4 linked regions of the Caenorhabditis elegans genome follow. The protein of the gene in region 2 interacts with the protein of the main gene of each other region in a pairwise test. Each region holds a gene or a part of one and is shown on either strand. Other genes may lie near its edges. The genes, in order: hpo-34, ephx-1, magu-4 and psf-1.

Region 1 (8,036 bases), on a different chromosome or scaffold from region 2:
TAAGCTTTTTGAATTTTTTCAACAAAAAAAAAGTTTTGAAAGAATTAATTTTGAAAATAGTGAAGAGATTGAAAAAAAATTTTTTTGAAAATAATGAAGAGATTGAAGCCTAAAATAACAGAATCTAGAAAAGTAGTCAAAAACAAAAATTGATACTTATTGGTAATTTAGAATTCAAATGCCTTAACCTTTGTGAACTATTCCCTACTTTGTCTTGGTTTCACCAGTCCTGTTTTCTCTAAGTCTCCATTTTCTGTTTAATATGTTGCGAACTGGATGGAGAGAGCCATGGTGGAGAGCGCAAAGAAACGATAGATAGGAATGAGTGGGAAAAAAGGAGAAGACCCAAGAGACATCGACTGAACCTGTGTGGAAAACGAGAGAGTAGAGAGAACAAGGATACACAACTGTGACAGGGGCATGGAGACTCAATAAGAAAGCGGAGGCTGCGTTTAAAGTTATATGGATAAAATAAATTTAAAATATGTTTAGGATAAATAATTTAACTAAAGTTTTTCTAGCTTTGTATAAACGTCAATGTCACGCGCAATTCTGATAAGAAACTCTGCGTAAAGTTTAACCTTGTACAAATGTCGTATACTTTCGATTCGAAAGTAAAAGTGTGAAGCTAGAGGAAAAAAGGAAAATATCACACATATGTTGAAAGAAGTTTCATACAAACATTCAGCAAAAACTCCTACGCAAAATAACATCAATATTAATAAAAATGAAACTAAAGTAAGGTACAGAATAAACAAGTGATTTAGGTATAATTATCGAAAGGGCTCAGGCATCTAATCCGATAAGAGGAAAAGTCAAATTAATAAGTATATGTACAATAACTGCAGATTGTCTTCATCTTCGAATGTGCCAAATTCTATAATGCCGTGAACAGCGCGTCGTTACCGCAGCTCTGACCTCTGCCGTTTTGCGTTGCGCTATGCAGTGATGACCAACGGTCATCTAAACAGCCGGCTGGACAATCGATGATTTTTACGTCATACAAAACGGGGTTGAGTCGCGTAGAAACTGTGCATGAGTCGATATTTAGAAAAATTTATGAACAATTATGTTGACGGGAGAAATGGAAGATGCATACTATCAATGGGAATACATAATGGGTATGTGTAACAAATAATTTTGAACAATTTTAACTGATCCATCGAATATATGTTATATTTTTTAATAATAGGTTGTTCAAAGACCATGTTCCAACAGCAGGAATTTTTTAAAATCAAACTATAAGTAAAACAGTTTAAGTAGTGCATTTTAATAATAATATAACTTTCATGCAATACTATTTTTATGGGTCGTTTTGAGTGCAGGGCTATCAGTGATACAAAACTAATAGATCTTACAAGTAGAGATGCGCCAGAGACATTATGTGAACAACACATTATTATAACCGAAATGCCTTAAATTTTTGAAAATTGTGAAAGCTGCCTTCTAAACCATTTCAAAAGAAAAACATCCATATTGAAAATGCTTCAATTTGTAATAGTTTTTTTTGCCTTTCGAGGTTTCCGTTAAAAATTGCCAATAATGTGTAAATGCTACACTAGGAGCACTAGGAGCTCCATTTTTTCGAAAGTTATAAAATTTTTGTGCCATGCTAAAAAAAATTACAAAATCGTGAAAACTTTTTTCCAATATCCAAATTAGTAACAATTTCAGCTTGTTCTACTTTTTTTGTGATATTCAAATATTTCAGAACTATCAGGAAATGATTTAAACCCTTTTCCTACGGTTGGCGTTTTACTTACAAATACCAAATACACATTGCCATTTCCAGACACTTTTTTGATAAAGACGACCATCTTAAGAGTTGAAAGACCTGTTTTTGGTTTCATAGATGATTTTAATTAATTATTTAAAAACACTTTTGGCTTAAAACATTATTTTTTCAAGAGAGACGGAGAAAGATAAATTTCCATGGCAACATTGTCAGCGCACGAAGATTATACAACCAAGCATAGAGATTGACGAAAGATTTGTTTCCTCTATTTTTATTCACAGTTGAACAAAAATTGTGCATGTTGCTGTAGAAATGGACAGATTATGGAACTATTAGATGAAACGCAGACTGTAGAAAAATAAAAATGGCCCGAAAATAAAAATCAGTAAATATGTTTAACTGTATCTGAAACAAAAAATAAATGATATGTTGAAAAATTTGCCATTAATGTTTTATTAAACCAATTTCAGCCGTATTCTATTATGGCACGAAAAACTAATTTCCCGAGTGTTCACAGGATTGCAAGGAAAAGTTCGATGCCGACCAACAAAACATTAATTTTCGTTATAACTCAAATTCGGTAGGATATTCGAAGATTTGAACATTATTTTTCAAACATATCCATTATATCCAATTCTCGAATTTTTTGGGTATGGCATCACAAAGTCATAGTCCGTTTCTGCGTTTTTCACTGTTTGGAATTGTAACTTTAAAAATGTATCATTTTGTGTCTGATTATTTTTTGCAACTCTTAAAAATTCTTACTTACTAGTTTTGCAATGTAATAATGTGTTATACAAATTACAAATGATATCTAAATAATTATATAATTTTAAATGTATAGAAAACTTTTACTTGTCTCAACATGACAATTTTGTTAGTCAAGCTTCAGTTTCCAGTCAAATAAAACATATCACACTAACAGAAACATTTTGGATAAGTTTTTGATTTAAAATTAAATTTTTATCTTTAATTTGTCATTGTCGTTTTCTCGGGAAATATAGTGTTTATCAAAATTAGAATGTGCGTTTAACTAAAATGTAGGATTTCATCATATTTGTAATTGAGCATTTAATAAGATGTTTTCTTGTGTCTTGAAATAAATTCAGATGTATGAAAAAAACTGTATTCGTTCAGATGACTTAACGTCCTTTCAGAGCAAATATTTTCGGGTACTGGCAGACTGTAAACATTAAAAACATCGACATTCTTTTTCTCTTTGTCACTTTAGCAAATATCATCTGCTATAATTTCCACTGCAAGTGCAATGCTTGTTACCTCCCAACTGGAACACTGACAGGTTAAAAAACTATAAAACGCTTGCTTCAAACAGCATGGAATTCAGTTGGAATATAGACCCATTTCTCTCCCATAATTTTAGTTTAATTTTGAACTTATGTTTCCTTTTCTGACATTAAAATATGTTCTCATGTTCTAAGCGTGTCTAAATGGAAGTCCCCCAATAAGTCACAAAAAATTATTATGCTATCATGTAATGTGTCCGGCAAAGAATCATTTATAAATTTCTCTGCGTTTATCAAAATTAAACGTGCTCCAAAAAGTGTGCTGCGTGTCACATACTATCATACCGGTCGTTTCGAAATTGTTCTCTACCCTCACTTTCCCCTTGTCGTCGTGGTTTATCATCTTACATCAAATGGCAGTTATCATCGGCGCCGTGTTTGCCGTTTGTAGCAGAGTTAAGAGCCCGACTGCTTTTTGAAACCAATCTTCGCGTTTTACTTTTTTTCGCAACAATAATAATAATAATAATGATCTAACAACCTTTTCAAATTTAATTCTCAGCTATTTTAGGTTACCTATTGTTCGTGGATTGGAAAAAAGAACCGAAGAAAAAATGATGGAGACTAGGAATGCCAGTGATAGTAAGTATGACATTAACACATTTCCCAATTCCAGTTTTAAAAAGGTTTGATGGACCAAGTCTTTTCTGCTGTCACGCTTCCTGCTGTTGGACAAACAACTACCATCATGGAGCATCATCAAGAATCTCACACTGTTTTTCACCAAGTAAGAAAATTTTTGAACAGTTATTTTGTTGATATTAGTTATTTTATTGAATTTCAGGAGAGTCATCATGTTGAATCTCACCACGAGCATATGGAATTCTCCTCTTCTGGGGTAAGCAAATTTTTATTTACATTGTAAAGATTACTTTAACTTCAATTATAATCTGATTTTTTTTACTTCTGATTTGATAACTTATCAATTTTTTGCTCATCAAAACTGAAAATCAGTTGGTGCTCTTTGATTTCCGTGTTCGAAAAAGAATGACAGTATCGATTGATTTAAGAACAATTTTGTTGGAAAATGAACAAAAAATATTTTTTCAGGTTATCGTAGGAAACGTTGTTGGTCATGATGCCGTTATTCAACGTCGTCCAACTGTGGATACTGAAGATCAGCGGTCGGAGGTATATATTAAAATTAATCTTTCATTATTTTGAAAAAGAGCATTTATTTAGGTGTCCGCAATGTCAAAAGCCACATCAGTTTCTGTTCATTCTAGCGTTTCTCAAAAATCCGCTCAGGTATTTCAGTTCGAACAATGAAAACTATAAACGCCTTTTTCAGCACTACGATCTTCCACCTATCCCACAGTACGACATGCCTCCGATTGTTGTTGGGGAAGCTGTTGTTGGAAAGGCACCATCAGTTGCTTCTTCCAGATCAGGGTATATCTTAAGCTCACTCTACTGAAGAAATAATAAATAATTTTCACACACCTACAGGTCCCACCATTCCGTCGCTTCGCATCATTCGCATCACTCCCAACATTCCCATCATTCCGCTTTGACTCATGACAGCGAGTCGACTATTTCCGAGGGAACTCTTGTGAATGAGCCGATCGTCAGTTTTACAAAGATTAAAAAACAATTTATTCATGATTTTTCAGGTGGTCGGAGCACATGTTGCATCTGAAGCTCCAACCCCACTTGCTGTCGGACAATCATTCGAGCATGACGCAGTGATTGAGCAATTTAAAAATCTTCATGGAAGAGTAAATAAACATTTTCAAACTTAAAACACCTATAATTTCTTTTTCAGGATCAATCAGTGGTTTCCAGCATTGTTCCTGCCTCAGTTCACATTCAAAGTGACAGCGAGGACTCTATTGCTCCATCAAAGTTGACTCACTCGATTGCTGTTGTACGTTTTTAAATGACATATCAGTTAAACTGTGAATTGCTTTCAGGGAGGAGTTGTCGATTCTCACAATGGTGTCAATGTTTTGCACAGAAGTCACGAAGTTGAATTTGTGGACTTTGCTGCTCCAGCTTACTACCAACCACCATCAGTTGTCGTAAGTGTCAAGAGTTTGTGTTTTTTATTAATACAGCTTTGTTCAGGGCGCTTTTGATGCTCATAGCGAGGATTCGTTTGGTTTTGAGAAGGTGGAATATGTGGACACTCATGAGGACCATCACCACAAGTTGGAGGAACAAGTTCCGCAAGTTGTTCATGAACATGTTATTGAACAGCATTACGAGCCTTATCAAATCGTCCATGAGAACCATAATGTGTTATCGGTCGATTTCGGAGAGGATCAACACTCCATAACCCATCATGATCATGACCACCACCACCACCACCATGAATCCCATGTTACCCATACCTTCACCTCCAATGTGAAACAGTCCCGTTCTAACACTGCCTCCACTTACCAAAGTCGCCAAATGTTAGCACATAATGTTGGGCCTAAAATTACTGAGGAGTTGCGTCCGGCTGCGGTGCTGGAGGAGGAAGAGGTTGAGGTTAGGCCCCCAGTGATGGCCTACGTGGCTCCAATCCCAGTTAAGCCACCACGTACCCACGAAGAGAGTCATATCTATAACGCGTACGAAACGGAGATTCATCAGCAAAAGGATATCGTCAAGTCTACTACTGTTGTTCTGGAAGATGTCCGCTCAGGATCTGAAGGTATTCATATCCGAGCGGATAATTCTTCATCTGTTGATATTATAGGTGTTAGCTCCCTTCGCAGAAAGTTTGAGCATGGTGCTCCACCACCATTGTCGCCTGTCTTTGAAATGAAGAAGCATGAGCACCACAAGCATCTTGATCAACACCATCACCACAAACACCAAGACGTCGTCGTTGAGCAAACGCAATTCCAGGTCGGCGATAACTTCATCTCTTCTTCTTCTTCTAAAGCAATAGAGAATCATTATGACGTTCCTTTCGATTCTTATGAGATAGTTGATAAATCTGAAAACACTAAAAAATCCTCATCCTCTTACCACGCCTCCTCCTCCTACCACAAGCAAGCACCACCGCTGCCACTAGTCGATTACCATGTATATGACACGCCAACTGTTGAACATTTCTCCCATTCGCCAGCTTTCTATACTGACGATCAGCGCCACCATTATGTTCCCCAAATCAAGGTGATAACAGAGTATCGACACATCAACCCTCGTCATCATTACGTGGAAAGACAAATTAGAAAAGCTGATGGAAGTGCGATTGCACAAAGTCCGCAAGTTCAAACGATTGACTATTTTAAAGAAATCAACAGGGCTCACCATTTTGTCCCATCTACGCCACCATCGCTGTTTAACAACAAGCGAGAAAGTTTCCACCATCACAGCTTTATTCCAAACAGTTTGGAAGCTGAAAGAAAGAGTCGTAGTGTTGAAAGAGCGCACCATTATCTCCCAGATTCACCAGCGAATGTGAAAGATCAGAGAAAAATAATCAGGGAACATCATTATGTTCCTCTTGAGAAACGCTCTCAATCGTTGGATTTAAAAGTAGTTCATCCTGAACATCACTATGTTCCACTTGTCAGAAAAACAACGGAGGATCATCAACAAAAAGTGAATCACGAACATCATTTCATACCAGCGGAGAAAAAAACCGAAGCAGTCAAAGATGTTGTTCACGAGCATCACTACATTCCACTGACCGCTCATAAAACTGATGAACATAATGTGAATATCACTCGAGAGCATCATTACATTCCGTTGAAAACGGAGCAAGTGCAGAGCAAAACAGAAATTGAACGTCACAATCAATACGTTCCAATGACTACTCACAAGGAAACAAAATCGTTTGATACTGGAAGAAGCCACTCTTATATCCCATTAGGTGGAAATGTGGAGCAGTCAAAAACCGAGATTTTTCGTCAGCACAACTTTGTTCCTGTTGTTGATAAAAAGGAAAAAAACGTCGAAGAAATCAATCAAAAGCATAATTATGTGCCAGCTCATTCGAATGTGGCTGTTTCCGATAAAGAGCCGATAAGCCGTCATCACAACTTTGTGCCGCTTGCAACCAAAACTGTAGAAGAGACGCGTCACTCTAACGACTTAAGTCATCATCACTATATGCCACTGCCAGCAAAAAGGGAAGAGGGAAAGACGGCAGCGGGTGATAAGGTCGGCTACGAACATCACTATTACCCGTTGGCATCGAATACTGAACGAGTTTCGGTTCACAAAGGACAAGAGCACCACTACGTGCCTCTTATTGCTAAACCAACGGAGAGTCACGCTTCCAAAATTGTCATTCAGCATCAATATATTCCGCTAGCTATGAGACATCAAAGTGTACCGAGACTTCCTTCGGAGCACAATTATATTCCGATTGCTATTCATGACGATTCGCATCAAAAAGTCGATTTGACGAACCATCAATATTTGCCACCTATTGTTAACGCCGAACAGAAAGAAGCTGTTAAGTTGTATGAGCATCAATATGTTCCACTTCCGCCCAAAAAGGATAGTTTCGCGGTAAGAAAACTTGAAGGAAAAGACCACCATTATGTTCCTCTTGTCCAGAACTACTCATCAAAAGCTCCACAACTTCCACGAGAACATCATTACTATCCGGCACCTGTTCGATCAGTAGAGCATCATCAAAAACATGTTCATGAGCAACATAACTATATTCCTGCAGTCCATCATCATGAAACAAATCATCAACTTGATCGTCAACATGGATATATTCCAGTCGCTGCAAAACACGAAGCAAAGAAAAATGTACTCTATGAGCATCAGTACATTCCGCCAATCACGAGAACGGAGCAAACGAATGGTTATGATAGAAGACACAATTATGTTCCGGTTGGAAAAACTGCAAAAGCGACAACGACAGACATCCACGTGCATCAGGATCATCAATATGTACCGCAAGCCAGCCCAAGGAAAACTATTTCGGAGGTGAATCGCTCTCACAATTACATTCCAGCCCTTCCTCCCAAAGAGCACCAATCCCGGCATGAGCACTATCAGTCTCATTCTTACCTTCCCCCTAGTCAAAAATCTACCTCACATCA
Region 2 (8,160 bases):
GGCGTCGATGTAGGTAACCTCTAAGGCAAAAGGGCACTTGTAGGTCGTCTAGAATACAAACGTAGGTAGGTCTGAAGGCAGGTAGGCGTAGGCCTGCCAAAACTGTCTGTATTTTTTTAAAGTAACTGTGTTCTGAAAATTCTTCAAAAAATGAGTATGAGAATGCCTAAAAGACTTAGAAAATTTCAAAAATATTTTAAATTCCAAAAAAGAAAATTTCAGAAAGTTCCCAATATTTTTCTTTTCCGAATCCTCGCTTTAAAATGGGCGATAAAAATCTCCAAAACGTTTTTTTTTCTTTCAAAAAGTTCAATTTCTCGCAATTTCCCGCCTCCCATATATCTTGTCACCTTTGGCACCGAAGCGAGCCGCTTCTCTCTCAAAAGTCAATTGATATATTTAATAGAGTGCAGCGGTAAAATCTTTACACATTTCGTACGAGAGCACTTGGCACTGGGACATTGTAAATTGAACAGGAAAATAGAAATAAAACTATTATAGATTCGCAACAAATAGTCCAATTGACCATCAAATTTTAATACAATAACCACCGAATTGTCTTCCAGCTGACTGAGCACCTGTACGGAAACGATTTGATTCTTTTGAGAACGAGGAAAAGGGAGTGTGAACTTGTACATTTGCATGTCGTACTACTACATTTCCTTTCACTCTCTAAATCTCTCGTCTCTTCTACTATAAATCCCTTGAGGGTTATGCAGAAAGACCAATCCCCCCTCTCACTCGAAACCTCTCTTTTACACAATCGGCGTGGGCTGTTTACTTTTCATTAGTATCAACAACAGTGTTTCAGTTTTCGGTTCTTTTGAACTTTTATTTTGATTTGGAGAATATTTAGTGCAAGCACGTGGTGTCAGGTTGCCCCATTACAATTTGATCTACGAAAAATGCGGGTAATTTTTTCCCAAAAAATGTGACGTCAGCACGTTTATATCCATGTAAAATCAGTTGAAAAGACAGCGTCTAAATTCCCGCAATTCTTGTAGATCAAACCGAGATGGGACATCCTGACGCCACGTGGGCAAGCTTATTAAGCTAAATTTGCTTTTTGAAAATTTTTAGAATTTTTCGTTTTTTTAAGAAAAAAATTTGACATTTCTTTAGACATTTGTCTAAAGAAATTATGATACAATTTTTAGTTAAAAAACCCGATTAATTTCCAAAAAAAATTCCAGAAAAGTATAATCCCTCTAGAAATCGATAAAGTAGTCAAATATCTGAAATTGTCTTCTTTCGGAGCTAGCTTGAATATTTTTGTCAAAACCTCAAAACTTTTCAGAAAAATTTACACAATATTTTCGTACCTATAGAATTTCCAGGAACACCTAGCAGAATTTTTTAAAGTTATTTTGATCAACTAATAATTCAAAAAAAAGTTCAAAAACCGGAAAGTGTTCGAAATCATTCAAGAATGTGTGTTGTGTATCTGTGATTGTGCAAATAGTCTTTTGTTACGCTCGTTTGAAAGTTCAAATATTTGATTCTGTGTGGGAGGTCACGGGAGCACAACACCTTTTAAAATAGTAGCTAGAAAACTAGTTTTAAAACTTCTAAACTTTAAAAAAATCTGAAAAGTTCTAGTTTTGACCTTTTTCAAATACCAACCAATTTCACTTTGTCATGGCTTTTCCGTATGTGTCACCCTTCCCCTCGGAACAATATTACTCTCGACTAGCAAGCTGTTCATCAATCAAATTTCATGAGTTATGAGCGTAGATGCCATTCTGCGCTTTGTAAATACGTAAAATTCAAGGGTTAGCTTTTTATGCGATTTATACTTTTTTGAAAGTTTTGAAAGTCTGAAAATTTAGCAAAAATTCAAAAAGAAGGATATGCTTAAAGCCCTAAGAATTTTTCGTTTTAACCTTGAGGATTGGTCGAAATTTAATGAAGGTCGAAGAGAAGTCTGAAATTTTGGAATTAGATACTTAGATACTGGAGACGAGCCTAAGCATAGTCCTGAGCCTAAGAATAAGCCTAAGCCTGAGCCTTTAGACTTTCTTGTGAAGCCTGAATCTAACTAGTAACCCTCCTAATAAGCATGAACTCTGAGGTAGAAGTGGTGCTCTTGAAGCATAAAAAAACAAAAAAACTCAAGTGCAATATTGCAATATCCATTTCGTAGTCCTCTCGAATGTCACTCACCCATCAACATTGTGCTCGCGGTCAGTAAATGCAAATTGCAATCCTTGCCTCCCGTATGTTTTTCACACATTTTCCTTATCCATCTGCGTCTCCTCGTCTCCCGATTCTCGCGCATTGACCACCACTGACCATGGTCTCGCAGGAGAAAAGGCGCTTCCTGTCGTGTGTTCTGCTCATTGTGCAGCACTTTTGAAGATTTTGCAAAATGCATATTTACTAGGAGAAGCTTTGTATAAAAATTTCACTTACCATTTAACCTCACTTCAGAAAAAGAAATGTAATTGACCCCCATTTTTCAAGGTTTCTTTGTTGTTAGAGTCTATTGTACTAACTTTTTTTATTCTTTTAAGTACTTCACACATTTCTTTGGCAAATTGGAAAAATGTTGAAAAGGGGGTCTGTATTAAGTGCTGGTCTGGAAGTAGCCATTACATAGCTGAAGCAAAGTAGCCGAGACGGCTAGGTCGACAGACTAGTTCTGTTCTTTCTGAATAAGCTTTTAAGAAATATTTTTATAGTTTGCTTCTAATTGTAATGGCGCTCGGCAGGCACTAGGCATGCACTAGGCAGACACTAGGCAGGCAGAAGGTAGGTTCTAGGCAGACATTAGGCTGGCACTAGGAAAGCACTCTGTAGGTCGTAGATAGGAAGTGCCAAATAGGCACTAGGCAGGTGCTAGGCAGACACTAGGCAGGCACTAGGTAGGCATTAGGTAGGCCCTAGGCAGACACAATGTAGGCAACCCCTCCTCGGCTTATCATTCCCAAAAGCTCTTGAAAAGGAAGATGTTTTTTTCATCATGAAAATTTTTTCCGCGATTTTTTGGGGAAGTGTGTATGTGGTGCGCAGTATAAACATTCGCCCCAATCATCATCAATATTATTGTGCTCTTTTTCCCACTTGCTCTCTCGGGGGGCTCCACTCACACATTCAAATGTTGAATCAAGCGATTAACCCATCGAGAGTTGTTGCATGCATCTCCTCTGTTTTCTTTTCCTCTTTTTCTCGCTTTTTTTGAAAAAAAAACTCTATTTTTAGATTAATAAAACATAATCAAATAAATATATGAAATTTACAGTGTCTGGGGGTAATCTGAGCCAAAATCTAATGTCCAATGCACCATCAACGACGACATCAGAAGCCCAGAAGATCGCGACAACGACGACGACGACGAAAATGCGATTGCCCAGTGTTAAGGAACTTGCCAAGAGGTAAGACAGCATTTTTTATAGGATTTTGTAGAGTGTAGAGATATTTTAAGGTTACTGTAGAAGTGGTACTATAAGGTTTTTGGGGTACAGTACTGCAGGGTAGTAGGGTATAGTAGGGACACTGTGGGGGTACTGTAGGAGTACGGTAGGAATACTGTAGGGTACTGTAGGAGTGATATAGAGGTATTGTAGAAATACTGTAGGGTGGACTACTTCAGGGGTACTGTAGGTACTGTAGGAGTACTGTAGGGGCAGTGGGAGGCTTTCACAGATGTAGTGCCGGTAAGGGCACTGTAGAGGAACTGTAGGAGTACTGCAGAAGTGTTGTAGGAACCTGTTCGACTATTTTAGGAGTACTGCATAGGTACTGAAGGGACAAAATGAGGCTTTTACTGTAATAACATCTGTAGTACCAGTTTAGGGTACTGTAGAGGAACAAATTGGAGTACTGTATAGGTATTGTAGGAGGATAACTGTATGGGTACTGTATGAGTACTCTAGGATAACTGTAGGGGTACTGTAGGAGTACTGTAGCTTTTTCCCACTTTGTACGTGTCATCGTTGCTTATTTTCAGCCAAACTTTTACCAAACATTTATTTTTGAAAAACTGTCCCCGCCTGCTTGTTGACACATAGATTCTATCCATTTTTTCAAAAAATATTTATTTAAGTTTAATTTTGGCAGCTCATATCTAAGTTGTCATAGTTTTTTATCAAAAAGTTCTTAACTGAGAAAATCTTGGTTTTAAATTTTCCAATAGTTTTGCAATTGACCAATTTTGGATATTTTTGAATTTCACCGGAATATACATAAGCTGCCAAAGTGTAGAACACAAAATTTTCATACCAATAGAATAACCAGCTAGAAAATTAACTTTTCTCTTGTCCTATGCTTCTTCGTTTAAAAAAAAAGTTTTTTGTTTATATGTCTGCAATTCAATTTCTGTATGATTGTCAAACAAATACTACTTTTCCTCCTCCTTCACACACTCACTCCAACACAGTTGTTCTCCAGCCAACAATAGCAGCACATTACCCTTCGGTTGATTGACATAATATATTGAAACCGGACAGGAAGAAAAACGGTTGAAGAAGTAAAGAGAGACCGAGGGCGTCGTCATTTCTTCCAGAAGCTTCTTCGTGGGAAAATTGTTGGAGTTTTAGAGATGGTTCGGAGAAGTTTGGCAACTTTTTATGAAGTTTTACTCTAATATCAGCTCAACTTTGAAAGCTTAAAAAAGCATTAAAAATGTTCAGAATCTTTTGGAAACTTTCTCCAACTTTCACCCAAACTTCAACTTTAGGATGTATATTATTTGGAATTTACCATCTCCTAGCTTTAGCGCCTGCCTGCCTAGGAACCTACCTACCGCATCCCTCTCTTCATTAGTACATCTCTGAAGAATTTCCAAAATGTGTATGTCTCCCCGCTCCCCCTGCCTTATCACCATCATTTTATTATTATTGTTATCAAATATTCCCACCACGCCTCATCACTGACCACTCCTTTTTACGATATGGTCATTTGGAGAGATTGTTAAACAATTTTTGAGTTTGCCGAAACGTTTCGTTTTTTGTAGTATTATAGAATGTAAAATTTAAAAAAAATTGCGCCAACCAATCAGCGACGTTAGCCACGCCTATTAGAATACGCTGATTAGTCGGCGACTTGTTGAATTTGCAATTTTAAAATTGATCTTCCAAAAGCTATTTCCGATTTCCAGATTCGAAACCAGCACAAGCCGAATTGAGCACCACAAACCGGTGATCTCCAAACGAATCGGCAAGTTCCGGGTAGTGGAAAACCTTCACGAGTAAGTAATTTTCCTCTTCAGTTTTGCTCTTAATTTGCTTGTTTTTCAGGCCGTGCACATCACGAGTGCTACGTGGAAGCGCCATACCGCGACGGAAAAGTTCGTTGAAACGACGAACGCGGAGCAACTCGGAGCTCGCCGTCCTGGTCACATCTTCTGAATTTCGGAAGAGCAAATCCACTGGCGACTTTTCACCGACGGGTGCCGGAGCATCGGGTGCTCCAATTGTGATAACACCGCTACCTGCACCTAGATTACGGTAGGTGAAATGAGGGGTACTGTAGGAGTACTGTATGACAACTTGAGGGGTATTGTGGATTACTGTAGAAGAACTGTGGGGGTACAGTAGGGCTACTGTAGGGTATTGTGGGATACTGTAGATTAATGTAAGATTACATCGTGGGTACTATAGGAATACTGTAGGTATTCTGTAGGGGTACTGTAGTAGTACTGTAGGGGTACAGTAAGGTTACTGTAGGGTATTGTGGAATGCTGTAGGAGTGATGTGGGGTACTGTAGGGGTAATTTTAAAAAATAATGTTTTTAATCAAAGTTTTAAAGTTGTTCTGAAAATTTTCAGTCTAAAACTTTATTTTAAATAATTTAGTTTGAAATACTATACAAAAATTGAACTTTTGGCAATTTTGAAGCTTTATAAATTTTACAACAATAATCTTTTACAACAATATCTTCAAATAAAATTTCAAAAAATTCAAATTTAAAAATTTCAATTCAATTTCTCTTCAAAACATTTCAGTTTCCAAAACCTTCCGGCTTTCAAAATCTTGATTAAAGTTTTGAAAAGTTACTTTTTTTACTTCAATAGAATACAATTTTATAAAAATACAAAACAGACAAATTTTTAAATAGTTCTTTATAAATAAAGCAAAATTTCAATGAAACCACTTCGAAAAACCATTAAAAATTTCAAACAAAAAACTAATTTCTAAAAAAAACTTTTTTTTTCAATTCCACCCACAGTGACTCATTTTTCGAATGTTTCAAGGTTCTCTATGATTCACGAATCAGAAATGTAAATAAGAATCCCTTTCTATTTCAGTCTTCAAACAACAAGCATGATTGTTGAAAGTTCCCCTTCTCCATCTTTCCATTCCAAAAAAGATGGTCACCCAGTGTACGAGGAGCGGTGTCGAGTGTCCTTAACAATTCCAATTTCTTCGTCAGAAGATCTTTCCGCTGTATCTCCACCACCACCTCTACCATCTGTACCTCCGTCTAAGGAGAGGATCAAGAGGATTCCTTCCTACCTGAAGCCTACTCCCGCGCCGAGGTCTATGTCTGCCACGCTGCCCAGGGCTCGTCTGAAGACCCCACCACCTCCACCCCCAGTTACCAATCAATTTGACACCCTGCCGGTCAGTTTCCGGAGCAGCTCAACATCCTCCAGCACAGGAGGTCTCCCGAGAATCCCGAATATCCCCGTCCCAGATGTCCCTTTTATTCCACTGGATGACGACAACTGTTACGATGAAATTATGCTGGTCACGCCATCATCAAACACATGTATACCTACACATCAACGTCTAGAATCCGAGTACACCTATGAATCTCAGTCTACCGACTTTTCAAGGCCGGAGCCTCCTAGAGCCTCCGGGTCAGAGCCCAATTCAAGCAGACGGGCTTATCCTCGGGATGAGGAAATCTTTGATGAAGCTGAAGAGGAGCTTCTGGAAGAACAAAGATTTCAAAAAGTGCCGGAAATCAAAGAGCGCTTCCTTTCCTCAACTCTCCAAAGGAATCCAAAATCCTCGAAAAGGATGAGCTCAATGGAGCTGGAAAAGCTGTTCAGGTTCAAGAGCGAGTTGCAGCTTAATTTGTCGAAAAAGGTTGGTGCTTTGTTTTTTTTGTTCCTTTTTGGGTATTCAGAAAACAAAACAAGAAAGACAAATCAAACTAATTCTGATTGAAGGTTAGCCAATTACGGCAGAAAGTCGGCGACAAACAAGCGAAGAGACGATCAAAGTGCCACGTCAGTGTTGATCTACTGGACACTGATTTTAGTTCTATGGTGAGTTTTTTGAGAAAAAATATCCAGAAACTAAAAAAATTTATTTAAAAAAATTTGAAGTAAGTTTTTTGAAAATAATTTCTGAAATTTCTAGGCAGTTTTTTAGAATTATTAAAAAGGTTTACTCTAAATTTTTTGAAGCAAATTTTTGTTTATTGCATTTTTAGTCAATATTAAAATTTTTTTAATAATTTCCAGGAATTTGATTTTTCATTAAAGTCTATTTTTTTCTGAAATTTCAAGTCAGTTATTTCAAAATTCTATAATTTTTAATTGAAATTTTTATAGATATTCTGTAATTTTCAATCAAATTATAATATAAAAATTTTTGGAATTTTTTGTCAAAACTTTAAAGTTTTCATGACACCTCTGATTAAATTTTTTACCTGGAACTTGAAATTTCTGGTCAAATTTTTTACATGTTTTCTAAAATTCCCAGTTAACATTTTAGTAATTTTTTTAAATAGAAATAGTAGAAAACTCCTTAGATTTTCTGAATTTTCTGGTCATAATTTTTTTGGAGTCTATGAACTTTAAGCCAATTTAAAAACGGTTTTTGAGTTTTTCTGTCAAAGTTTTAAAGATTTTTTTGAGTTTTTCAGGAAACATTTTTAAATGATTTTCTGAATTTTTTGTTGGATTTTTCGGTTGACGAATGAATTTCCAAAGTAAAAGTATCCAAAAAATTAAATTGAAATTTATGTAATTTGTTTAGGCAAATTCCGGAATTATTTCCATTTCCCTTTTTTCACATTTATTTGTTGTAATTTTTGAATTTTCCAGATGTCAAAATCGTCTTGCGTTGACAAGCCGTTCCAGGATGACGATCACATTTATGGGGATGATTGGAGCAGTGATGATGATGATATTTATCACGGTAAGCTTTTGCTAGTTTACAAATTCTTTTTTCCCCTTTTCCCTTCACTGGTTACCTCCTACCATG
Region 3 (9,990 bases), on a different chromosome or scaffold from region 2:
TGCGGGCAACATAAAATATGCGAAATTTGGATGATGGGGCGGTGAGCGTATTGAATTCAAATCAACAACTACTTCTATATTTTTGTTCGGAAAAACGGAGTCAGTCAGTTAAACAGTCATGCAGACAATACTGATTCAACTGATTGTACTTTTTACGTTATTTCATGAGGTGAATACACTGGTCACTTGTTCAAGATGTGAATTTGGAAATGAAGAGTGAGTTAAATTAATAAATGTTTAGTTTAACAATAGTTTAACGTTGATTTCCAAATTTCTGAAACATCTATTTTTGTTTATAATTTATGTTAAAAGTGTAAACTTGGTTAGGAAGATGGCAAACCTCAGGTAAAAAATAGCCAAAGCTTATTAATTCAAAGAATAATCCAACTCCTGCCAACATCTCAATTGAAATTTTATATATTTCAAGAGAAAAGTTCTGAGAACACAACTTCCTATTTGTCAGCGCATAACACGATTTTCTTGAACTTTATTAAATAAAAATCTATTTGAAAATTTTATTTGTATCTTCACTCTGGTCGCCCAACATGTTTTATCTTTAACACTCTCGGAAATCTAGTGATAAAATCTAACAATAGGAAAATCTAACAGCAATAGTACCGGGAAAAAATGTTCTTATATTTTTAGATGCAACTTTTCTCGAAGTACATGTCGGGGAGATTTCTGTTATCATGCTCAATATTTTTATGGAAATGAAATGATGCCAACGATACAAAAAGGATGTGTTATAGGGGAAGTTGCTCCAGAAGGATGTAGAGTCAATCATCATGGAAATGTTATGTGTTTCTGTTCAGAGTAAGTTGGTATTTCACTTCAAAGCTTGATTTAATTTCATCGTCAAAGTTTTTTAAAAAACAATTTCAATGTTGCTTCTGTACACTCTTATGTCGGTGATAATTATTTTATAAAAACCGTTAACTCTAGTAAAAAGGTAAAAATTTCCTGGGTGTCCCGTTCTACAGTTTACTAAAAAAATTTTGAAAAAAGGATGAATACTAATTAAATTGTTGAAACATCCAGCGCTGACTACTGTAATGCCAACTACACATCACTTGCTGACACTGCTACAACAATTCTTCCCGTTCAGACTTGTCAACCAGAAAAAGTGAACAACATGCCAAAACCCAGATGGACAAAGCCGTGTGCTGCAAACTATTGTACTTTTATTGAGGCAAAGGTTTTCTTTCTTTGAACTTTTACTGAAAATTCCAATTTTATTGAATTTCAGACTCAAACTGAAGTGAACAGTGCCAATTACACTTGGTCCACCAAAGACTGCAATAAGGAGAATGAATTTGACTTTTTCCCAACTCTAACAGTTTTCAATTTTTATCCTGGAACATGCGTATGGCTCAACTATGGAGGTCAACCGGACACACATGCATGTTATGGTTCTGATGTAAGTTTGGAATAGTTTTCAATTCATTGTATAATTAAAACAGTCTCTCGACACAACATTAGTCTTTGACGTGACAACTGCTACAACCGAATGCCACGTGGATTATTTTAATCCACGTCTTCCATATGTTAAGTCCGGAAGTTCTTGTATTGGACAGTTCTGTTTCATAAGTGCGACTTCCCGTGGAGAAGTGTTCAGAGGTTGTGTTAACAGTGTGACTGTCGAGGGTGCCACTCCGTTGAAGGTTAGATTTTGTCTTTGTGTAAACATTTTTAATTAAAAAATTATGAATTGCAGTATCTAAAACCCACATAATTTTTCAAAAATCCTTTTGAGCCTTAAATAAAACAGAAAATAATTATCGACTCGAATTTATGAAAATTTTGGATAAAATTTCGAACATGTTTCTGATAATTTTTAAAGAACTTTAAAAAATGAACTGATGATGTAATTAGACGTTAAACGATTATTATCAGATTTCAGATTTTTACGAATTATTGCTTTCAGATTGGCTACACCCGTGCATACACTGGCTTAGAGCAATGGATTTGTGATCAATCTTACTGTAATGCTGATCTCAAATCAGCTGAACTCTCTTGGCCACCTGAGCTATATTTATACAGGTTGTGACTCTTGACAACTGAGAAATAATTTTGATTATTTCAGAAATATATCAAATCTCCGAGAGTTCAATGTTTTCTACATCGACTCCGCTCGCTCGTCATCCTCGATTTTTCTTGCCATTCCCATCGTTTTTCTAATTAATTATTGCCTTTTCCACTGAACCACCTTTTTCTTTCATTTTTACAAATGCTTTCAATATTTTCATATGAACAAATTTATATTTCTTCAAATTACTTCATTTTCAAACAATAAAAGCACCGGAGATTCTATGTTCTCTTTCTCAATATTATTTATTCTTCATCGACTTTTCTTTGAACCCATACGATTTTTTTCTGCTCGTCTTCAATTATTTTTTTCAGCTGAAAAATAATAAAAAGTTAAGTGCGGCACGAATTGAAAGAATAATTACCTGTAGAACAGCGTGAGTCATCATGAAGCTGACATTATTATGACTTGGCACTACAAGTGTAACTGATCCATCAAGATCTTTTTCTATTTTCAAATCCTGAAAATTAATTATTGGTATATCGAAAATTTTTTGAAAAGTTTCGAAAAAGTATTGTGAAAAGTTTCTATAGACTCCGATGAGAGCCTCTGATCCGCCTCTTCAATTGCCCGCTGCGTTTTTGGATGAGAGGCAATGAGACGACGGTAGAGACCGGGCGGGTTAATTATGTTTTCGTAAATTACCGTACCTTTTCAATAAGCTGTTTGGCTTCTTTTGAACTGATTTTCTCTCCACAAATATGTTCATTGACATCTTTTAACTGTTTAACTGACTTGAATCGAATCTTCACAAGAATAGGGAACATTCTACATCTTTTCAATCGATCAATTGCAGACTGATCAACTTGGAGGACACAATGGAGTCTGAAAATCTCAGCATAACTATGAAAATGTTTGAAAACTCAACCCTTGAGCCGTGATATCCATAATATGAGCAGTTGATACGACGTGATAAAGATCATAAACATCATCGTTTTGTTTCGAATCAATCAATACTTTATCCTTCAATAAAGCCGATACTTCATCCAAACTTGCAGTTAAAGACTCTCTTGCAACAATTGAAAACTTATCAGATTCATCAACAAGCATTTGAAGGAAAGGCTCAACAACTGCTCCAAACAAAAGAACCGGTCGTTTCACTTTTGTATCCAACTTCTCAACCCACTCATAAGCCTTCTTCGGGAACGGATTTGCATATCTGTTAGCTCGAATTGCCTGATAAACAGTCGTTGAACTTGGAATAGCTCCATGTTCTCTTTGTCGTCCCTCTTTGTCCACTTTCCATGCTCTCCATCTTCCAGTTTTGCCCATTAACATAGTCTTGTCAACGAAAACAACATCACCACATTTTAAATCCAGTTCATCTTTGTTCTCCATTGATCTATCGATATTAACACGAAGGAAGAAACTGTCACCGTCAGCTCCAAGTCTCAAACGATTCAATCGATCTCCACCGTCTTGAACTAGAAGACCTGTTAACTCCGAATTATCAGCTGATAAAGTATTCATTGCACACTCGAGTGTTGTATTTCGAACGCAATTTCCATCGATTGATAAAATGAGATCTCCTTCGAGAAGGTCAGAACCAATTGATTTTTCAGCGAGGATACCTAAAATATAGCGGAGATTATTTTGACATGAATTGCTTTCTCGTACCAATCGCATTTCCACCACAAAGTTTTACATCACTTCTTGGAACCTCGACCAGTCTCGGTTGAGATGAACGGTTTACAAGAAGAGATTCAGAGTGATGATTTCCACGTGGCAAGTGATATTTCTTATTGGATCTTCCCTCAGCGTAACTGTGCATTGCACTTCCAGTTGTTGAAATTGAAAAATCACTTCCATCTTTACTTATGCAATGACGTGGAGGTACTCCACTCCCTCCAGTCAAGCTGCAGGTAGCTGAAACAATTTCTAGACTACAGCAGTTAACTTTTGAAAACCTACAATTATTAGGATACTGATTGGAAAAACTTGTGCTTGGAAGTCGAATGGAGTTACTCGAAGACATAACAGAAGACATAGAGTCATCCCGAATTGTAGGATATACTGGTGGATGACTTGGACTGTAAACAGCTGATCTTCTGTGGGGTTTTCCTTCCATTATAGTTGATGATGTAGGTGTGAAGTGCATAGAATATGGACGAGCATCTGAAGTTGTCGTGTTCGATGAAAAGCTTCTTCCATCCCATCCTCCTCGATGAGATGATATTTGAGACATTGTTCGTTTTTGCTCACTATTTTGACGGATTAGTCTTCTGAAAGTCAGAGTTTTCTTCTTTTTTTTGACTAAAAATGTCAAGAATCTTACGTCACAGGTGACGTTGGTGTGCTAAATATGGTACTCTTAGGAACATATACTGGAACTCCTTCGATATTGGTTCCAGCAAATACGAGATCTTTTTCATTAACTGAAGATGGGCTCCATAAAGCTGTTGGAGCGGCTGTTGAAGATGAACTTATTTCAGAATGCGCTGTGGATCTGAACATTCAACTTTGTAGTAATCAAATTTGAAGGAAACTAACTTTGCATTGAATCTTTTATCCAGTGCATCCAGCATTAATTTTGTATGATCAATGCTACTTGAATAGGTTGGAGCACGTAGAGAACCATACCGTACCAAGGGACTCATTGATGCTGGAGAAGCTTGTGGCATTCGCAGAGATCCCTGACGAAGAAGAACTTGATCATTTGAACGATCAATATTCGCTTTTGCAACAACAGTTCGCTCTTTATCAGATCCACCATTTCGACTGAACCACTGAAACAAGAATACTAAAGTTTCACTAGCATTTTATAACGAAGGTTTACCCTCGAAAATATAGTTTGTCGATGTTTATCCTTTCCATTATGATCACCTCGTTTAGTAGATTGAAGAATTCCAATGACTAGAGGCTCTCGAGAATTTTTAATTAGCATCTCAGCATGTTTAGCATCATAAACAGGAGTGTGCATAACATGAACAACTCGTTGCCCTGGAGCCAATCCACTACGAGAAGCAGCACCGTTTGGTTCGCAGGAATTAATGAATACTCCATTGGATAGTTCAAGACCTACACCTGAAATGTAAAACTACACTCTTAAATGTAATAAGTAACTCACCATAGTTCAATGGCAGACAAACATCACTAATTTTATTGCAATTTGATCTTCTTCTAATAACAAGATGAATGTGATGACAGTTGGATAACATTCCCATTACACTTCTTTCGTCCATATCTGTTACAGATATGTCATTGACCATCATTATATGATCCAGCTTTTTCAATACATTATCAAATGGAGAACCGTGAGCAATTTGTCTAACATATATTGGACCATGAACAATTGAACCATCGTCCGTACGGCCTCCACCAAGCATAATTCCCAAGTTTGGTTTGTTGAAGGGCTGAAATTAATTTCGTTTTTAATTTTTATCTTGGCTGTCTGAAACGAAACGATTGAAATGAGTTTTCTTTCAACTTACCAAATTAATTTGAACAGAATGAGTATTCCAAATATCCACAATTGCATCTCCAGTTGTCTGTTGACATTTTCTCAAAGCTTCATCTCTTTCTTCTGTAATTCTAGCTCCATTTTGTTCTGCTTCTGTAAGCCTTGCAATTGCAGCTTCTTTTCGAGCATTTGCCTGAGCAGTTTCTTCCATATTGACTTTCAAGAGTCTTCTTGTATTTTCAAGTTTCTGTTTTAATGCAGCAACTTCTTCAGAATCCTGAAATTTTTTTTTAATTTGATTGTCATTGTAAAATCAAACCTCTTTCATTTTTTCAATTTCTTTTTGCAGTCGATCCCTCTCTTCATTTTGACGAGAGTTTTCTTCTAATACAATACTTCTTTCCTGCATTGTTTCCTCATAATCTCTCTGGAGAGCTTCATATTGTAACCGTAGCCGTTTGTTCGCTTCTTCAATTTCCATTTTATATGTTTCACTTCTGAAATATATTTTTTTTCATAACGGGCCATTTTCCAATGGTTTTTAAATATTTATTAGTTTTCTTCTGCTGAAAATTATTTTCGAACGTTTAAAAAAACTTGAATTTCAAATTTTTAAAGCCATTCAAATTTTTTACAACATCATTATGATTAAAAACTGGCCCGAAAAGTTTCAGATCGACAATTCTCTAGTTTAAAGTGCACCAACAAATTCTCTCAAAAATGACATATTGATTTTATTTCGAAATTTCAGGAAGTTAACTACCACTTATCATATACATTTTGGTACCAATTCCAGGTCTTTTTAATTTTCAATAAACATTTTTGAGCTTTTCTAGTGATTTAAATCATGAACTAACCTATGTACTTGTATTTGTAGACTATCAATTTTCTCTTCAAACTCATCAATTTTCTTTCCAATATCATCTCGCTCTTCAGATGCTTTTCTAACTTTTTCCATCCATTTTGCCTCAACTTCTCGAATCTCTTTTTCCATTTCCTCTGCAATCCGTCTTCGTTCTGCTTTTTCAAACTTTAACTGTTTCACTAATTTCTCTTTTTCCACATCTTCAAGCTTTTCCTCTTCATTTTCATTTTCATCCTCTTCAACTGACAAACTCGACGGTTTTGCTTCCACTTCTACCATATAGAATTCTGAATGAAAAACGGAGAAATGGGTCAACTGGACGACATACGGAAAGGACTAATTATAGAAGATGGAATAGGAGAAAAGATAGAAAGAAAATAAGTGAGAAACCGGTCGAATGCGCAGGAATATCACACTGATTTGTTCATTCGGTTCGTATGGAATAGATGGAGGAAAAGAAGAAGACGGGTGAATTAGAAATAACACAATTTGAAGAAATTTCCTTCAATTAACAGTTAAAATTAGTTGGAATTTGAAGGTTACTACAAGAATGAAAATAGAGGCACTTGAAAATAGAAACGAGATGTTTTTAAATATTCTTTTGGAAATACATGACAGATTTTTGAAATACAGACCAACGTTATTGTTTTGCTAATGAAATGAAGGAACATATACCACAAACGAAACACTAAAAAAACTAGAAATACTGAAAAACTCAACTTTCGATAACGATTTTCCCAAAACCTGACTAAGCTCACTGTTTGAATTTCTTTCAAAATGAAAACTGTGAAAATAATCAGTAATTTGTTCCACATATTTTTATACCAATCAGATGAAGTGTGTGCGGAGATCAAAAGCCACACTGCGATATTCCAACTGAACATTCAGATTATAAGATCCATATATTTCAAAATAAAAACAATACTCACAGTGTTTCGATCCAACGAAAATTCACACAAAAACTGTCTTAATACGGTCAAGATGGGCGGTGCATGGGTCCGAAATAATCCGTTAAAAGACGAGTTTGCAGGAAAAGGAAAAGAATAAACATACGAGTCTTGCCATCATCATCGCCTCAAATACAAACATACAAGGCAGAGAATCTTAACAAAAAACTATGTTTTGATACGTTTTTCCATGTTTCGATAATATAAATTTTTACTTGGCTCTTGGTAAACTTTAAGCTTTTTTTTTTGACTTTTGACAAACTTTGGAGCTCCTACCTTTGAACAAAATATAAAACATCGCTAGTTGGTAACCTGATCAATTTTTTAAAAATAGAGTCGATTTAAAATTTAGGCCGTTAGCTTTAACAGAATATGTAGAAACGCTGTTTTCTAGAAGAAAATATTATTTTGAATATTTCAACCGTGAGAGATAGTGTAATAAAATCGGTTAAACTTTAACCTTAAAAACCCACATGACTTTTTTCAACAAACGATATATGTGTATTTACAATGTTTGTGATGTGTGAAACGAATTGTTTGAAGTTTGTTCAAATTGAATTGAGATGAAATAGAAAAATGAAAAGAGTAGGAGAAGGAGTAGGGAATTTTATGTAGGAATTTTAATTGAACTTGAACTACATGTCATTCTTGTGAATCTGAAAAATTACCTATAATATAATAGGGCTTCCATGCAAATAGAGGGTGCCTACTTTCGTGCCTACGAGGCAGGTGTAACTAGTTTTTAGGGTGATATACCAAAGAAACCTATCACTGGAGTTGAGGAATAATTTCAGGCTAGTAGTCCTAGGTGTATTTCACAGCATGTTGACAATTTACAAATAGACGTTTATCAGTAACAATTCATAGAAAATTTCTGTGAAAATGATTTTATCTTTAATACATAGCTGAGATTTAAATGTAGTTGAAATCCCATTGACTAAATTCTAATCCACTTCTGATGGTAAACTCAATTTCATAAGGAACATTCTAACTTCATGAAATAATAAAAGATAAAACATTTCATAACAAATCATGTATCCAAGTAGATTGAAGAGAAGTAGGTTATTAGAGAGAAATGAGAGGATACATACAGATACAGGTCGGTTGCGATGGGCGCACGACGAACGAACAGTTCCTCCCGGAAAGTGAAAGAGAAATGCGGGAGAAGGTGGGTGAAATAGTGTTTGAAAACAAGAGAGTTTAGGTAGACAACCAAAGAAACTGTACGAATGGGACGCATGGACAAACACGCTCGTTTCTCTACTGCTTCTTCATCTCATTCACGTTGGAATCTTACTTGACCATGTTTGTTTTATGAGAACTAGAGGACGAGAAGCATACCACAAGGAACACATGTAGTTATTAATATTGTTTTGATTATCGTTGCAATCTAGAATCTTGAAATAGGAGTAATTCTTTTGAAATTTTCTACTCGGTATTACGGTAAAATGAAATGTGCAACTGTACCAAAGAAACATTTCAGGAGTGTGTGATTTTTTTGTCATACTGTAGTGAGTTCTCAAAATCCCTCCACCCTTTAAGTTATAACCCAAATTTGAAATTAAATACGGTGTAAACTCGAAGCGAAAGTACGCGAAATGGTAGGTCGAGAATTTGATTTAAGTTTTTTCAAACTTGTATTAAATTGCAAATTTATGTAGAACACATGGATCAATTTGGCTAATGCGGTGTCCTAACAGGTACCGATTTTCAAATCTCTTTTACATCAAAATATATATATTACCTCGACTTACCATTACATTCTAAATTGGTAATATTTGTCTCTATCAGAATAACCGAGAAATAAACCAATGAAACTGTAATTTCATGAAACTGGAGTGGTTCATGGGACTAATGGAATCAGATATTATTTTAAAACTATTCATGTATTGAATTTGTTTTGGTAAAAAAACCTATCATAGTTTTCGAAGTGAATTTTTAATTTCGATTAATTGTCCGTACATTCTAGCGGACCTGCAGCAATTCTCGAAATTACTCCAAAAGTAAGTTTTTTTGGAAATTTGGCAAATTACCAAAACTTTGACTGAAAATTTAGAAGTGTTCAATTGATATTCGGTCATGTTAGACTATAAAAAATCCCCGCTGATGATACTTTGCCATTAATTTGAATTAGATAATCGTATCTGAAATAAAATAATATCAAGTAATATGATCCGTTTAAAGATAATCAATGAATACAATCTAATTTTCCGATACGGACCACAAGGACACTGTTTAACCAGTTTCCTTCACCACATACATACCGAATATTTTTGTATGTCTTCTTTCGTTTTGAAACGTTAAGTTTTTTGCAAAGTTAGTTTACCTTAATTCAAACATCTTGTTTATAAAATATTTGTAAAATATTATAAAATATAAATTTTATAAAATATACAAATGTTAGAGCAAAAAACGAGTATTGAATAGTATTTTTCATTAGACTTACACCCCAATGATCTATTTTGACGGTTTATATCTCGATTGTCTTAAGTCTTATCAAAAACAATTCCACTATATAAATATTAAAAAAATGTTCTGCATATATTTTGTCAGTTAACAATTTTTATATGAATAAATATAACAAAGATAATCGAGAAAGCTGTAAAAGTGGAGCAAGGCAGTGCAAGTATAATGGGGAAATTACGGTATATTAAAAGTACAGATACATGTTATCCTGAGATGACTGAAAAAA
Region 4 (6,487 bases), 6.0 Mb from region 2:
ATGAAACAGTGGTTTCAGCGATCCCAAGCCTTACAGCAGGGCCTAAAAGTGTTCAGTTTTCAAATCGGGTAGAAGTTGTGATGGTTGATGCGGAGAATGAGGTGGATAACAATATAAGTAAGCTATCAAAAATCTTCTGAATAGAATACAAATTTCCCTTTTTTACTTCTCTTAGAATTTTAATAAAGTATTTATTTCCAGACACACCAGCATCCGAACAACGTCGTAACTCGACAAGTGGTCGCCGCCCATCGTTTTTGTCTCAAGTTCGTGATCTCATCCATCCACGCACCGGAAGTCTAGGAGCCAGTATGTTCCGTCGTCCAGAAGCCACAAGACGTGTACAGGTGGCTGAGTGCAACGTGGAAGCGGTTTACGATCTTCGAGACAAACATGCACACTTCTACGATGATGACAATGGATTCCGAAGACCGCGATCCAATAGTTCGGATTTGTTGATTCTGAGGAAAACGTCTCGTCCGATCTCGTTCAATGTCGTTGGAGTTATTGGTTAGATTTTAACTGTTCTACCCAACCACGAAGTTTTGCAATTTTTGCATCAAAAATACGCTACCCGGTCTCGACACCACTAAGAGTAATGTAATTACAAACTTCAATTTCAAGTACTCTTTAAAAGCTTGTCGAGACGGGTTACTGTATTTTGAGCAAATTTCTCGTCTGAGCAAATAGAAAAATTATTTTTATAGAATCATATTTTCAGATCAAAAAACGGATCCCTATCATCAGTACATGTCAGTCGTGGATGTGTATGAACTTTGCCCAAACAACTCAAAAGTGATCATTATTGATGCATCGACTCCTACTACCCGGGCATTCAGAATCATGAGAGATCACAACATCACAACTCTAATCGTTTGGGATACCAGTGATGCTCGTCATGTGAAGAGAAACATTCTAACTCTCACTGATTGCCTTAATGCGATCCGAAACGAAACACCACCGGCAGATGGTCAAGTTCTCAGAGCTTCGGATATCTTGAGTGGAAATCAACTGGTCAGTGTCTCAATCTCGTCGAAAATTCTGGATCTTTGCGAGGAACTTCATCAGAATCGTCTGCATCGAGTCGTGGTCTTGGATGATGCGAAAGAAGTTGTCAACATCATTTCTGTTCGACGTGTCATCGCAGCAATTCACAAGCAAAACAGAAGTCTTCACTTTGCACAGTGGCTGTCCAAATCGATTGGAATGTCTGCCATTGGAACATGGGAGAATGTTGCAGTGATTTCTCAGAATGAAACCGTATACAGAGCTATGGAGGATATGTTAGGATTCCATTATTCCGCGCTTCCAGTCGTCGATTCCAAGCAAAATGTGATCGGCGTTATCACGAAGACAGATATTTGCAAGGCACTTCCACGTAACTTCATCGAACCAAAGCGTTGGCTTCAGGAGACTAAAGTGTCTGATATTCTTCACATCTGTAAGAGTCAAATACTGATCTCGTCGGCTGACAGCGTTGGGCAGGTTCTAGACACATTACTCGCAGGAGACACACAAAGTGCATTCGCTATTCACAATGGAAAGGTATAAATTTAACAACATTTTTATTTTAGTTTAGAGGATCTCTGGATCTCTAAACTAAAAATAAATAATCCAAAGCAATTCTAATTATTCAAAACTTTATAATTTTCAGGCGATTGGTGTGATTTCTCTAACAGATTTCCTATCACACATTCTTCGTTCTCCATTGGCAACAACTGATGAAGAACCATCACAGGAGCCAGCGATGCCACCCACTCCGGAATCCAATTCGAGCAGCACTGAAAATGTCTGCAGCAAGCTGAAGAATCTTTAGATTTTCCCAATAAATATTCCCCGTTTTATCCATGCATTTTCTCGATTTCCGTTGTTCCATTCATTATTTATCCCGATTCCTCGTTTAAAATAAGTAGAATTTCAACCGTTTCCTAGCTTTTTTCTCCCAGTTAATCTTCATCGTTTCGCTCAATGTTTACCATTTTCCTGTAATAATCATATTCTTGTTTTTTTTTTTGGTTTTTCCGCATCATTTCGGTCCCATTTTTCTCTTCTTACAACACCTAGAGCTTTACTGCTACCTCTTGGGGATAATTTGTAACCCCAAATTTCACTTTTCATGCCTCCTGACAAATCACATGCACTTCCATAATAATGTACTTATTTTCTCGGTTTCTTCTGTTCCTTCTTTTCCTGTTTCAAATTGATGTTTCCCCCGATTTTCAACTGTTCTTGAATTCTGAAGTTGTTCCTTCTTCAAATGAGTATTTAAAACAATGTGTTGTAGAGTGATTATTTTCAGAACAAAATGATATCTGAAGTTCATAGAAATTTTATATTTCAGATTAATTCAGATTAATTGAGATTTCTGGTGTTTTTTGAAGAAAAAAAAACTCGAACGCCTAGAGCTCATCGACCAAAAAGTGTTTATCAGCGTTTTTCTATGCGTTCTCTCAGAATTGCATACTATTTCCATAAGACACTACACTCTAACTTGTTTACCATTTTTCACATACACAACTTTTCCCAACAGAAATTCTTTTTATTCTTTTATTTTTAGACGATTTTTTACTGAGTTTCCACGAAAAAAAAGTTGTATCATAATTACTTCAAAACTTAACACTTCACTTTAAAGACGCATACAGTATTCTGAATAGGTCTCGCGACGAACTCACTAGTCAGCCAAATGTTAAGTTCAATTTCTTTTCATTTGAGAAAAAACTAAACACTGAAAAAAGGCCGTAATAGCGAATTTCACTAAATTACGAGTTTCTGAGCATTTCATTTTGCTGTGACGATTCAAAAATAATGTCTCTAATGTGCATTTTCAAAGTGGTCACCATTTTTTCGAATAACTCCAAGTTTCCAAAGCTTCTTCTTTCAGAAAATGGCATTTCTCGGTTATGGAGCTGCCGCTGCTCTCGGCGGAGCTCTCGTTTACGCGAATCTTCCCACTTATTTGACAATCGGAGCTGTTGCTCCAACCTTTGCTCATTTGGCGGCCGCAAAACTTGTCCCAATTCGTGGTGGACCGAAGGAAAAAGAAGTTGTGGAGAGAAATGAGCAGTTTACGGTAAACATTTTCACTCTAAAATTAAAATTATTTGAGAAGTTTCAGGCCGACTCGTTGTTCAAGAAAGGTCCGATCATGGTGATGGCTGTACGTCGTCCGGGATGTATGCTGTGCCGTCGTGAAGCTGCTGAATTGCACACACTGCTCCCGTTGCTCAAGGAAAAAGGAATCGAACTGGTAAGCGCTCCTTCAAAATAGAAAAATTAAAACTTTGCTTTCAGGCCGCCGTTGTGCACGAGACTCGTGGAGCAAATGAGTTCAAGTCTTGGTTCTCCGGCGGTGATGTCTATTTGGACACTGATCGCACTTTCTACGGTCCAAACGAACGCTGGCTGCCAGTTTGGATGGGATTTCTTCGTTTCGGAACTTACTCGAATGTTTACAAAGCAAAGAAAGCCAAGGTCGAGGGAAACATGGAAGGAGAGGGAAGACTTTTGGGAGGTACGAAAAATTATTAAAATTATTTTTTCATAATAATTGTTCAGGTGTTTATTTGATTGCTAACAACGACATCGTGTTCACTCATTTGGAGAAGGAGTGGGGAGATGCTGCCGATATCAAGGAAGTTCGTGCTGCCGTCGAGAAATTCTCGGAGAAGTCGAAATAATTTTTTAACTTATGTGTTTTCTTAATTAATTAAACGAGGCTACTTTTTTTGTAAAATAAACTGACAAGAAGCTATTTATACAGATCACAGGTTGAAAACAAAATACCGACAACAAGTCAATGAACAAGCTCGAGAACACCCTGACGTATCAGCATTTCGCAGTCTTGGCGTGGAAGGGAGTGCTGAAAAATGTTATACATTATTTAAAAAATTAAAAACGGGATTTCTCTTTTTTCAAATAAAGAAAAATTCGAAGACTTACCAAACTATCCTTGGACAGCTGAACTTGAGTTCCATCTGACGTTTCAAATTCTCCATAATCCTCGAGAGCTCTAACTTGTACAAAAAGTGACTTCGGTGGTGCAGAATGAAGCAGCAGATTAACACCACCTTCTCCAAGATTGCTTTGGAATCTTGCCAATGTGCTCGAATACTCATTGAAAAACTGAATTTCCGCATCGCAGAGGGCGTTCTGAAAAATAATGGTTGACAAATTTTAATCATGTGCACCGATTACCCTAACAGACGCGGGAAGAGCACCTCCATACTTCCATCTGAATGATCGAATCCTGTTTTTCCTCTCGTTCACATAGGCCATCATGCAACGCTGGAAAATTGAACCACTACAATATTTCAAAAATCGACCTTCTCGACTTACTCGAATATGGCACATTGCAGCTAAACGAGGTTGAAGAAGCGTAGAATCATGAGGGAGTCCTGCACGGATTTTTTCACTGAAAAATATGATTTTAAATCAAGAAGTCACGAACGAATCGGTACGCTTCCGAAATGTATCACTTACACGACGGCAGCATTCTTTTGAAACAACTCATCGATTTTCTGATAACATTGGCGTACAAGTTCTGTCTGAAAAGAACTCAAATTTAAAGCAGAAAATAGGATATAATTTTACGTTATAAGGCGGTAATACATCTGGATTTCTTTTCATCTCTAAAACAAGTTGTAGTGCTTTGTCGGCGACGCCTCCTCGATTCTGATCGCCGGAACTCATTTTTTGAACTGCAAAAATTAAAAGTTGATTTGAAAAATAAAATTTTAAAGGGAAATACTTGATTTTAAATATTAAATTCGAAAATAAAAAACATTAAATTTAAAGTCCTCGACTTTCCCACCATTTCGGCTCTTGTGAACTAGTTGTAGACTCGGCCACGGCCATGGGTCTCGCAGCGATTAGCCGAAATGTATCGCCGCCCGTTGAAAACTGCACACATTTTTCTTAAGCATTTTTTAAAAGTGGAATATTGACGATTTTTCATTATTTACTCAATTAATTTCTTCTAAAATCAAATATATCACTAAATTCTGAGTTAAATTCGTTTTAGGCGTTACTGAAACGTAATCCCATGGTCGATAATGATCAATGTTTACAAAAATACATGTTTATATTTAAAACAATATTTAGCACATAGTTAAGGATTATTGGAGCTGGAACGTTCTTTTTTAAATGTATATTCTTCCTGATATTCATGTGTATATTTGCTAAATTGAACAAAATGCCTGTTTTGGTTGTTTTTCTAATTAATTTCTTGTTTATTGATTATTTGGCTTAATCGTTACTCGATTCTCACTATTTAATTAAATATCTGGTTTATTTTTATTTTTTTAATTCTTCGAATTTTCAGTTATGGCCTGGTTCCGTCCTCCACCACCACACACTCAACTCAGACCATGGGTTCCGGACGCGATCTTTATCCCGATCTCTCGCGCCGTTGAGCGTGTCGGAGTGTTCTTCTACAACCGGTTTGTCATTGTCTGAAAACGACGAATAAAATTCTTTTCCAAAAATAACCGATATAATTTTTAGCGTGTTGAACAAGACCGAGGTTGGATTGTTCGACAAGAGATGGAACAAGAACGTTCACGGACCATACTGCCACTGGAGATACTACGGAAAGCTTGATACCAAGTTCATGGATGTGAAGCTAGGAGATCTTCCAGCCTGGATGGCTCGTCGTGAGAAGACCCCATCTGCCTTCTACAACGAGTTCATGCGCAATATCTGGAGAGTCCACAACCTCTATTACTCAGGACCAGTCTACAATAACACTGTTCGTTTAAATTTAAAAAAAAAATACTAATTTTTTTTATTTTTAGGTCAAGGTAATCTTCCGCTTCATCTTCGCCTACTCGTTCCTCAATTGGCTCGTCAAGTCTCACCGTTACGTCGATTTCCAGAAGACGATGTACCATTGGTAGACACCATCCGATTTCGTCTACTCTTCAAAGCTCCACATACAAACTCTGTCGCTGGGGGAGGACGAAACAGCCATCCGATTTTTTCGTATTCTTTTTTCCCCCAATTCATCTCATTCTCGAGACGTCTTCTGTTAATTTAGTCCCCTATCGATTTTGTCCGTTTGTGTCTTTTTTCTATGAGAGAATAAATAGTGTATGGATCGGTTGAATAGAAATATTAAGAAGAAGGTTAGATAGCCGATGCGATTTTCTGGATTTTTTCGCTGTCGGCTTTATCTTTAGATTTGAATCTGTAGATCTAAAGTTCCGATTCTATAGAAGCGCGTCTTCATGTTTCTATTTTATTTTATATTTCTCCATGCTGTCTTATTTCCAGAGCCTCATCTCTTCACCTATGGCTACTGATCAGAAACGAGGGCTCCTGATTGTATTCGAAGGTATTTGATTTAGCTTAATTTTAAAGAAATATCAATATTTTAATATTTTAACAGGGCTCGATCGGTCCGGCAAGTCGACACAAGCCAAGCGACTCGTTGAGTCCATCAACAAAAAATCCACAGAATCCGGAGATGCTTCATCTTCCCCATCAGCCG

Evidence for each region.
Region 1: the proteins of ephx-1 (region 2) and hpo-34 interact in a two-hybrid assay, tested with the Caenorhabditis elegans proteins (one large-scale study listed by BioGRID).
Region 3: the proteins of ephx-1 (region 2) and magu-4 interact in a two-hybrid assay, tested with the Caenorhabditis elegans proteins (one large-scale study listed by BioGRID).
Region 4: the proteins of ephx-1 (region 2) and psf-1 interact in a two-hybrid assay, tested with the Caenorhabditis elegans proteins (one large-scale study listed by BioGRID).

Annotation. Positions count from the first base shown.
Region 1 is NC_003284.9:11,514,575-11,522,610, reverse strand, and holds the start of hpo-34 (ZM domain-containing protein), read left to right. Parts: upstream 1-3,544; 5' UTR 3,545-3,593; coding exon 3,594-3,621; intron 3,622-3,665; coding exon 3,666-3,766; intron 3,767-3,823; coding exon 3,824-3,877; intron 3,878-4,089; coding exon 4,090-4,170; intron 4,171-4,221; coding exon 4,222-4,287; intron 4,288-4,330; coding exon 4,331-4,431; intron 4,432-4,488; coding exon 4,489-4,606; intron 4,607-4,652; coding exon 4,653-4,757; intron 4,758-4,804; coding exon 4,805-4,906; intron 4,907-4,952; coding exon 4,953-5,060; intron 5,061-5,106; coding exon 5,107-8,036.
Region 2 is NC_003280.10:4,001,644-4,009,803, forward strand, and holds the start of ephx-1 (SH2 domain-containing protein), read left to right. Parts: upstream 1-3,270; coding exon 3,271-3,374; intron 3,375-5,098; coding exon 5,099-5,188; intron 5,189-5,237; coding exon 5,238-5,447; intron 5,448-6,248; coding exon 6,249-7,035; intron 7,036-7,118; coding exon 7,119-7,217; intron 7,218-8,000; coding exon 8,001-8,094; intron 8,095-8,160.
Region 3 is NC_003282.8:10,006,456-10,016,445, reverse strand, and holds magu-4 (PDZ domain-containing protein), read right to left. Parts: upstream 6,694-9,990; 5' UTR 6,631-6,693; coding exon 6,344-6,630; intron 5,984-6,343; coding exon 5,806-5,983; intron 5,764-5,805; coding exon 5,518-5,763; intron 5,440-5,517; coding exon 5,154-5,439; intron 5,111-5,153; coding exon 4,863-5,110; intron 4,813-4,862; coding exon 4,577-4,812; intron 4,533-4,576; coding exon 4,362-4,532; intron 4,309-4,361; coding exon 3,998-4,308; intron 3,953-3,997; coding exon 3,704-3,952; intron 3,658-3,703; coding exon 2,955-3,657; intron 2,912-2,954; coding exon 2,737-2,911; intron 2,547-2,736; coding exon 2,451-2,546; exon of another isoform or gene 2,401-2,450; coding exon 2,332-2,400; 3' UTR 2,239-2,331; downstream 1-2,238. Other genes in the region: F44D12.2 (DUF7622 domain-containing protein), read left to right, coding at 119-216, 646-813, 1,039-1,195, 1,247-1,417, 1,461-1,661, 1,925-2,040, 2,084-2,201.
Region 4 is NC_003280.10:9,966,883-9,973,369, reverse strand, and holds psf-1 (putative DNA replication complex GINS protein PSF1), read right to left. Parts: upstream 4,698-6,487; 5' UTR 4,690-4,697; coding exon 4,591-4,689; intron 4,545-4,590; coding exon 4,480-4,544; intron 4,412-4,479; coding exon 4,336-4,411; intron 4,285-4,335; coding exon 4,195-4,284; intron 4,150-4,194; coding exon 3,940-4,149; intron 3,860-3,939; coding exon 3,794-3,859; 3' UTR 3,740-3,793; downstream 1-3,739. Other genes in the region: aakg-5 (CBS domain-containing protein), read left to right, coding at 1-117, 202-510, 722-1,545, 1,655-1,816; R53.5 (Peroxiredoxin-like 2A), read left to right, coding at 2,885-3,070, 3,116-3,247, 3,292-3,511, 3,556-3,677; R53.4 (Putative ATP synthase subunit f, mitochondrial), read left to right, coding at 5,323-5,438, 5,503-5,746, 5,793-5,894; dtmk-1 (Thymidylate kinase), read left to right, coding at 6,289-6,331, 6,386-6,487.